Sus scrofa: one gene and its partner. The protein of the gene in region 1 interacts with the protein of each later gene in a pairwise test. Links are inferred from orthologs where the notes say so. Each region holds a gene or a part of one and is shown on either strand. Other genes may lie near its edges. The genes, in order: LHX9 and KHK.

Evidence for each region.
Region 2: the proteins of LHX9 (region 1) and KHK interact in binary tests that used the Homo sapiens proteins (3 or more experiments, as listed by UniProt). The two-hybrid records come from large-scale screens. The link is inferred for Sus scrofa from reciprocal best matches to the Homo sapiens genes LHX9 and KHK.

What each region holds. Positions count from the first base shown.
Region 1 is NC_010452.4:20,757,614-20,760,636, reverse strand, and holds part of LHX9 (LIM/homeobox protein Lhx9), read right to left. Parts: intron 2,409-3,023; coding exon 2,206-2,408; intron 1,013-2,205; coding exon 755-1,012; 3' UTR 1-754. UniProt on the Homo sapiens protein: Involved in gonadal development.
Region 2 is NC_010445.4:112,028,097-112,032,636, forward strand, and holds the start of KHK (ketohexokinase), read right to left. Parts: upstream 3,038-4,540; 5' UTR 2,942-3,037; coding exon of another isoform or gene 2,890-2,941; coding exon 2,850-2,889; intron 305-2,849; coding exon 150-304; intron 1-149. Other genes in the region: EMILIN1 (EMILIN-1), read right to left, coding at 4,234-4,540. UniProt on the Homo sapiens protein: Catalyzes the phosphorylation of the ketose sugar fructose to fructose-1-phosphate.

The DNA of each region.
Region 1 (3,023 bases):
AGAATTTCAAATTCTGTTTGGAATTTTGCTGGGTACGCAGGAGGTTTAAGTATTTTTTCAAATGTTGAAAAGCAAATAACTAATAACAAAAAGTTTTGTCGGGATATACATCCCTAAGAGAAAAAAGTCAAATTCCTCAAATACATTTTCCACCTAATTAATCTTTAATATTTAGATTTGCTGTAATGTTTTTGTTAAATCATATTCCTCATTTGTAAGAAAAAGGAATCATCAAAATATTTTTTTGGTTTTAAAATTTAAAAAAACAATGTGAACTTTTCAAAATTCTGTAAATACACATACAATTGCAATATTAAAATAATAATTTTAATTAAATATCTGATTCTTTAACAACCTCATGATTTAACTGGGAATATGATTATTTACCCATCATAATACCACTCTTTTTTTTTTTTTTCTTTGAGATTCTGGAAATAAGTAACATACAATTTTAAGAGGCACTTATTAGAATGATTCCAAAACTCCCCTTACCGACTGAAAGATCTAATTAATTTTTTCTGAAAAATTCAAATACACTTTGTAGACAAAAAAAAAAAAAAATACACTTTGTAAAGGAGACAGTACTATAATAAACTCATTTGCCAAGTGGCTGCAGAAGCTACACACCGAGCTGTTGTTTCTATTTCCCAAATAGCTTGCGGGTTAGAAAAAAAAAAAATAGTCTTGGAGATAATAAAATAATAATTAGAATAATAATAAAAAGAAGAGGAAGCATTAAAAAAAAAAAACAATGTTAGAAAAGGTTCGTTAAGGTAGTTTGTGAGGGGCTTCCGGATTCGTGGCTGTCCATGTGAGAGGTCACGGCTGTCACTACAGTGACAGTGGGATTGGTCAGGTCTGTTAAAGTGGTCGCAGTGCCGAGTGGACTGAGAGCGCCGCTGTCTGCTGAGGGCGGGGCCGGAAGCGACGTGCCATCAGCTTTATCAACACCCCCATTCTCCTGCCGCAAAAGGTTCCTTCTGAATTTGGCTCGTGCGTTTTGGAACCAAACCTGCAAACCAATCCCAATGGATTTCTTTACCGATGTTTAGTTTTATACTTCTTTTCTCTTTCCTTTTTTTTTTTTTTTTTTTTTTTTTTTTTCTTTTTTTGGATTTTTTTAATATATATAATTGTTTTTCTTGGGAGAAAGTGGCTTTTTTTTTTTTTGGCTTTCGTTTAAAACTGAGTGATTCCGGGACGACTAGAAATATCCTCTCCACAGCAGGTGTGCCCCCCCTTCATTAACAAGTGCCCCCTGGGGCAGCAGATGCTTAAGTGGAGATACTATGGGGAAAAAAAGAAGGCACAGGGATAAAGAGTTGGGGAAAGACAGGCTGGTTCCTCAACTGTTGTCTTGAGAATGAGGAAGGGCAAGCTCGTGGAATGGTTCACAAAGTAAGAATCACTCGCATGAAATGAACATCCTTGAAACACATTTCAGGCTACTCTTGAGTCTGACACAGGGCAAGGAATCCCTGCCAAGGAAAAACCTCCAGGCCACAGACTCCAAGCAACCGGAAATTGGGTGGCATTAAAAATGCCTGGTATTTGTCACTGAGAAGTGTACGAGGATCACAGGGGACCCACAGCAACCCCCTATCGTGTCATCAGTTATATGTTTTTTCCATGATGAGTTTAGGAAAGCAACTGGACAGCAGATCTCACTCTCAGTATGTAGTTGTGTAAATATGGATTGTTAAAATGGGAAACTATTCGCTCCAGCTGGTTGTCGAGACACTAACCATATTTGTGGCTTTTCAGGAGCTGACAAAATGGGGAGACTTGAACTTGGAAGCTCATTGCATGTAGTGAGGCTGCAGAGAGTGTGAGACAACACCAGCAGGTCCCCGCCACCACCCAGTCTGTGCACTGAACCTAGGGTGAACGAACGTCCCCAAAGCCACAGCTCCTGCAGATAACATCACCCGCAATTGCAGAGCTGTGAAGCCAGCTGAGCTGGCTTTGGTGGACCCGTCTCTCCATCTGTAGGGAGAATGCGGCTGCGTTTTCAAAGGCTCTGGGTCTCTCCTTGGGTACTCTCACCCAAGCCCCTACAAGGGCTCAGTACACTCTCCAGGGAAGCAACTAAGATAAACTAATAGAATAGAAGCAGTTCAGGAAATACCTGTTATCACTCCACACAGGGAAGAGAACTCTTTTTACCGCAAGGGAAAGGCACAGCCAACGATGGAGGTTTCTTACCTGCAAAACTCTTTTGGTCAGGCCTGTTTTCTGAGCAAGCTGCTTGAGGTCCTTGGCGTCCGGGTTGTGGTTGATGGCGAAGTAGGATTTCATGGTCCGGAGCTGGTGGTGCTTGAAGGAAGTGCGCATGCGCTTGGTCTTCTGCGAGGGGGGGTATGGCTGCTGATCCCGGTCCAGGTGGTCGGCCTCATTCTCGTTACAACCTGTGGCAGTCACAGTGGACAAACAAGGGCTCAGTGGCAAGTCCTGCATTAGCTGAAAAGATGGCAGGTGGCGCGATCGTGTCATGACCCAACAGCAACAGTGGAAAAGGCTGTCGCCCCAATTAGGAGCGCGATCCAGACAAAAGAAAGAGGTTAATTGCCAAAGTCCGCCAAACTAGTCCGTTAGTGTGGACGCAACCAAAGTTTACAGAGTAGAGAAGCATTAGATAAATCCCCTCTTTGGCTCAATGGTTGCTAGAAAACCTGTAAGTGTGGGAGTGAAAGAAATCTTCTCCAAGAGTGAAAAGGAGAAAAACCCCTTTTCTAATACACTCTGTTTTCAGAGACCACGTTTTGTCTGTATCTGGGAAATGAGATGTACTCTCTGGGGATATTGCTCTTTGTCACGAAGGGTGTACAAACAAGGAACTTCAGCTCTCTCAAACCAAAAATTTTGGAGACAGCCCTTCCCCATAAAGGAAGACTCTAAGTTCCAATCTATAGCCTTTTCTCCTAATCCTAGAATCTTTTCCATTAGAGAAAAAAAAAAAAAGTTTAAAAGTGGCTGGAGAAGAGGGAGAAGTTACAAAATAAAAACTGGCAGGGGTCTTACGT
Region 2 (4,540 bases), on another chromosome or scaffold:
GATGAGCCACAGCCGCGAGGGATGGGATGCTGGGACCCCGCTCCGCCCCTCACCCACTCCCCTCACCATGTCTCAGAGCCCACACACCCAGGGCCGAGGCGTCCCTCTCCCCACCCTGCGGGCCAGCCTCCCCTGCTCCCTCCACTCACTCGGCAACGTGGCCCGGGGCCAGCGAGCCCATGAAGGCACAGGGGGCTCCGAGCAGGGAGAGAACCGTGCAGGAGTTGGAAGCGTTGCCTCCACGCTGCCACCTCTGCGACAAACACCTGCAACACACAAGCAGGGTCCCGGCAGCTCCAGCAGGCTGGTGCCGGGACAAGAAGGGCTGAGCCTGGGTAGGGCCTGCAGAAGGTAGGAACCGGGAGCTCCCCATCGGCAAGCACCCAGACCGGCCTTCTCACTTCTAGATGGACAGCTAAGGCTCCGTGCAGGGAAGGGTCGTGGCTGAGGACCCAGCGCAGGCTAAATGCAAGTTCACGGTGATTAATTTCTATCTTCCACCTGTTCCTAGGACCTCAGGAAAGCACTCGCTCAGGGCCACTAGGATTCGAGGGCTCCGCTGACTCTGGGTTACCCCTCCTCAGCCACAGTGACCCGCCTCCCCCGGGCAAGCCTCCTCATGCAGAGAAAAGACGAGAAGCTTCGAGGGCCTGCACCTGCTCAAGGTCACACCAACAGTGAATGACAGAGCCGACACCAGAACCCAGGTCTCCTGACCCCCAAAGCCCTGCATGCGCTGCGTGTCTCTGAATATGGCAAGTTGTTGGGTCCCAGCGTGGATGAGGTTTCAGTGAAAGGGTTTACAGCTTTACTCTGTGGAAACCCTTCGAAGTCATACTGACACCCAACTTCCATGCTCAGGGGTCTGGCCGTGTGCCATGCAGCAGCTCCTGTGAGGCTGCAGCCGCCTATGGAGACAGCCTGGGTCAGGTGCGGCTGAGATGCTGGGAGCGGCTGGGTCCGCACTCAGTTTGCTCATCTAGGAGGCATGGCAGAGGCCAGGAGCTGGGCCGGGTGGGACTGGAGCACAGGGGACAGGCCCTGTGGACAGCCAGCCTGCTCGGCAGAGGAGCAAGCCCTGGGTCTGGGGGAGGGGGTACCCTCGGAAGGGCAGGGCGTGTGGAGGACTTGGGAAGGGGCTCCTTCGAGAGGTGTCAATCACTTAAGCGCCCACATTCTGAAGAGCCCCCATCAGGGTGGGACCAGCAAGGTTCTGGTCTCCCGACAGAGCAGCTCAGAGGAAAAGGGAGTCGGCTCTCATGGACGGTGGCACCCTGTGGCCTCCCGGGGCCCTCTGCCATTCTCGAGGAGCCTGTGGTCCCAGAATCCGCGCAGAGAACAGACCTCACACCTCACTGTGCGCCAAGTCCTGGGGCTGGCTTGACCTTGGCAGGAGGGCTAGGTCCACCCAGCAGCACACCCGGGTGCCCTGCACCCCTGGCAAAGCAAGCAGCCCAAAGCAGAGGGTCAAGTCCATCAGACGGGCAGCAGCAAAGGAACGGGGAGCTCAAGAGATGACAGAGGCTCAGAGGTAGGACGCCTGAGGTGTCACCACTGCTCTGCCACTCATTAACTCTATGGCCTCACAGAAATCTAATTTCTCCAAATCTCTGGCTTCCTCATCCGAAAAAGAGAGGAGGAGGCAACTGGTCCTTAGCCACTTCCCATGGGCTGCTGTGCGGCAAGTGTGTGACTGTGCCTGTGCTGTGTGCACCCAATGCCTGAAAAATGCGGGGGCCTCAAGGCCGCCAGCGCTGCAGTGTCTTGCCTGAGCTCAGCCTTGAACTAGGCTTTTATCCAGTTCTTAGGCTGAGACAATTGAGAGCCAGGAAGCAAGTTTTCTCTGTGTTCTAAGCACTAGACTGCACCCAGAGACAGCCACGGATTCTGCTGCACAGAAGTGGTCTTGGGATTAGAGTGTTAACGGTTTGGTTCTTATCAAGAGTAAATATAGGAACCAACACATGACTCTTCAACTTCTACCAGACAACCGAGTGGGATGGTGTCCACTATGTTGTTACTGACTGCTGTCAAAAGGATTTCTGGGAAACTTCTGGAATTCAGCACCAGGGAGAAGTCTCATGAGCCAGCTCTACCCACAACTCACAGCATCTCCAAATGTGCCTGCACAGCCAGCAAGCTCTGAGCTACAGTGAAGCTCAAACATCATGGTTTCAAATGCTCTTGAACAGTCTAACTGCATATCTTCTTGGAAGTGACCTCGATTTTCTTTTTTTTTTTTTAAAGAAACAGATGAGCTCTCTATGTGGTAAATATATTAGAAGTCAGTGCCGGTGAGAGGCGGGCATATAGGTCTTGCTATTAAAAAGGAAAAAACTGGAGTTCCGGTCGTGGCTCATCCTCATGGAAACTAGTACAGCTGAGCCACAACCGGCACATCCCTGGCCTCCCTCGGTGGGTTAAGGATCCGACGTTGCCATGAGCTGCGGTGTGGGTCTCAGACGCAGCTCGGATCCAGCATTGTTATGGCTGTGCTGTAAGGCCACCCCTAGCCTGGGAACTTCCATATGCCGCAGGTAAGGCCCTAAAAAAGACCAAAAAAAAAGGAAAACACAAAGAAACTGGCCCTGCATGCACCTTCTTAGCTGCTTGCCCTCGCATAAGTCACTGCGACTCTCGGGGTCTCTATTTGCTTACTCGGTAAAATGAGGACAATGATGTCTGACCCGGTCCCAGGGTGGAAATGGGAACCGGCGAACACAATGCACTCAAGGCCACAGGCAGAGGGCACGGGGCCCCGGCTCCGCAGCCCCGTATTCTTGGTCGCCGGGCACAAGGCGGCGGCGGCAGCGGTCCCTGAGGTTTCCGAGAGGCCCGGGCATCCCTACCTGCTGTCCGTGTCCTCCTCCGGGTACTTGTCCACCACATTGATGATGTCCAGCACCACTAGCCCCACGCACAGGATCTGCTTCTCTTCCATGAGGCCGCTCCCGGAGCTTTCTCGGCTGGCCCGGCTGACGGGCTTCCTCCCGGGCTCGGCCTCTTATCTTGGAGGATCGTGTCCCGCTCGCAGGGGCTGTCCTGGCTCCTCCTCCGCGTCCTGAGCTCCTCCTCCAGGGAGTCTCCTCCGGCGGCGAGGGGTGCAGTGGGGTGCAGGGGACGGAGCCGGGCTCCTGCCCCCCACACCCACCGACCCCAGCGGGCCTGGGAGCGCAGACCCCGAGGTCTTGGTCCCCGGCTTTCGCTCAGCAGGCTGCGCGGCCCAGGAGATGGCTCCGCTTCCCACTTCTCGCCCTCAGTTTCCTCATTTGTCCGACGGACTCCGACTACCGCAAATCTCTCTAAAGCGCGGCTGGGCACCCTCTTGAATGCCAAGACAAAGTGGCAGCAGAAAGGCATCCCTTGCCCTGCCTCCCAGCACCTAGACGGGCGGCGTGAAGCAGGGCCTCGCAGCTACGGCCCGAGCCGGGCATCCCGAGCCGCCGCGGCTTGCGCTGTCCCGGCAGCCCCGCCCCCGAGCCTCGGCCAATCCCAGCGCGAGTCTAGCCTCCGTGGTGGAGCAGCGAGGGCCCGCGAGGTGAGCGGCGGCGGTCACGTGACGGCAGGCCCGCCTAGCGGCGCCGCGGTCCCGGCTTCCAGCGCCCTCTGGCGGACGCCCGCAGCAAGGGCGCGACCAGGAGGCAGGCCCCGCTGCGGCTCCAAGGGGGCGGGAGCCCTTCTGGCCCGCGCGTCCGGAGCAAGGGCTGGCAGAGCCACCCAGGCAGAGCGCAGAGCTCAAGCGGGGTCCGGGGTCCCAGGCTCTCTCGCCCCGTCCCCTGTGTACGCCTGTCTACGCTTGAACACACGCTGGAGTAAACGGCCTTTTTTTGTTGTATTTTGTTTTTTTTAGAAAAACCAAATGTCTTTATTCCTGAATAGTTTAGTATGGCGGTGGGGTCCCGAGGCCCCTCGAGAGAGAGCCCTGGAGCCCAGGGACTCGGTCTAGAGGCCAGCTGGGGGAGCAAAGGGTGCGAGGATTGGCTCCTCCGCAGTCCGGGTCTTGCAGGGGACGGCGATCAGTCCGAAAGTCTGAACGAGGGAACCCGAGTCCCCGACCCGGCGCGCTCCGACCGTGGGAAGGAGGCTGCTCCGGGCGCCTGTGCCGCGGCGGGTACGGAAACGGCGGCTCGCCCGGAGTCAGCGCCCAGTCCCAGGCGAGACCCGGCGAGCCCGCCGCCCCCGCTGGCTCTTTGGCGGGCGGTAGCCGGCGGCCCAGCCCCCTGTCTACACCTGTTACAGCTCCTGGTCCTCGTAGAGCAGGGCTCCGCTGAAGATGGTGAGCGGCTCCTCCGAGTGCGCCAGCTGCCCCATGACCAGGTCGATGCAGACCGTATCCCCGGCCTGCAGCGGCAGGATAAGGCTGAAGACGCCTAGGGCGCCCGGGCTGGGCTGGCTCTCGGCCACCGGCTTATTCTCCAGGCCCTCAGGCTCGTAGCCACCGGAGTCTATGCGGGCCACACCCAGGTTGGAGCGCGACAGCACGGCCTCCACTTTCTCGTGCCGATGCCCAGTCAGCACCGCACTCAGCAAGTAGCGTCCA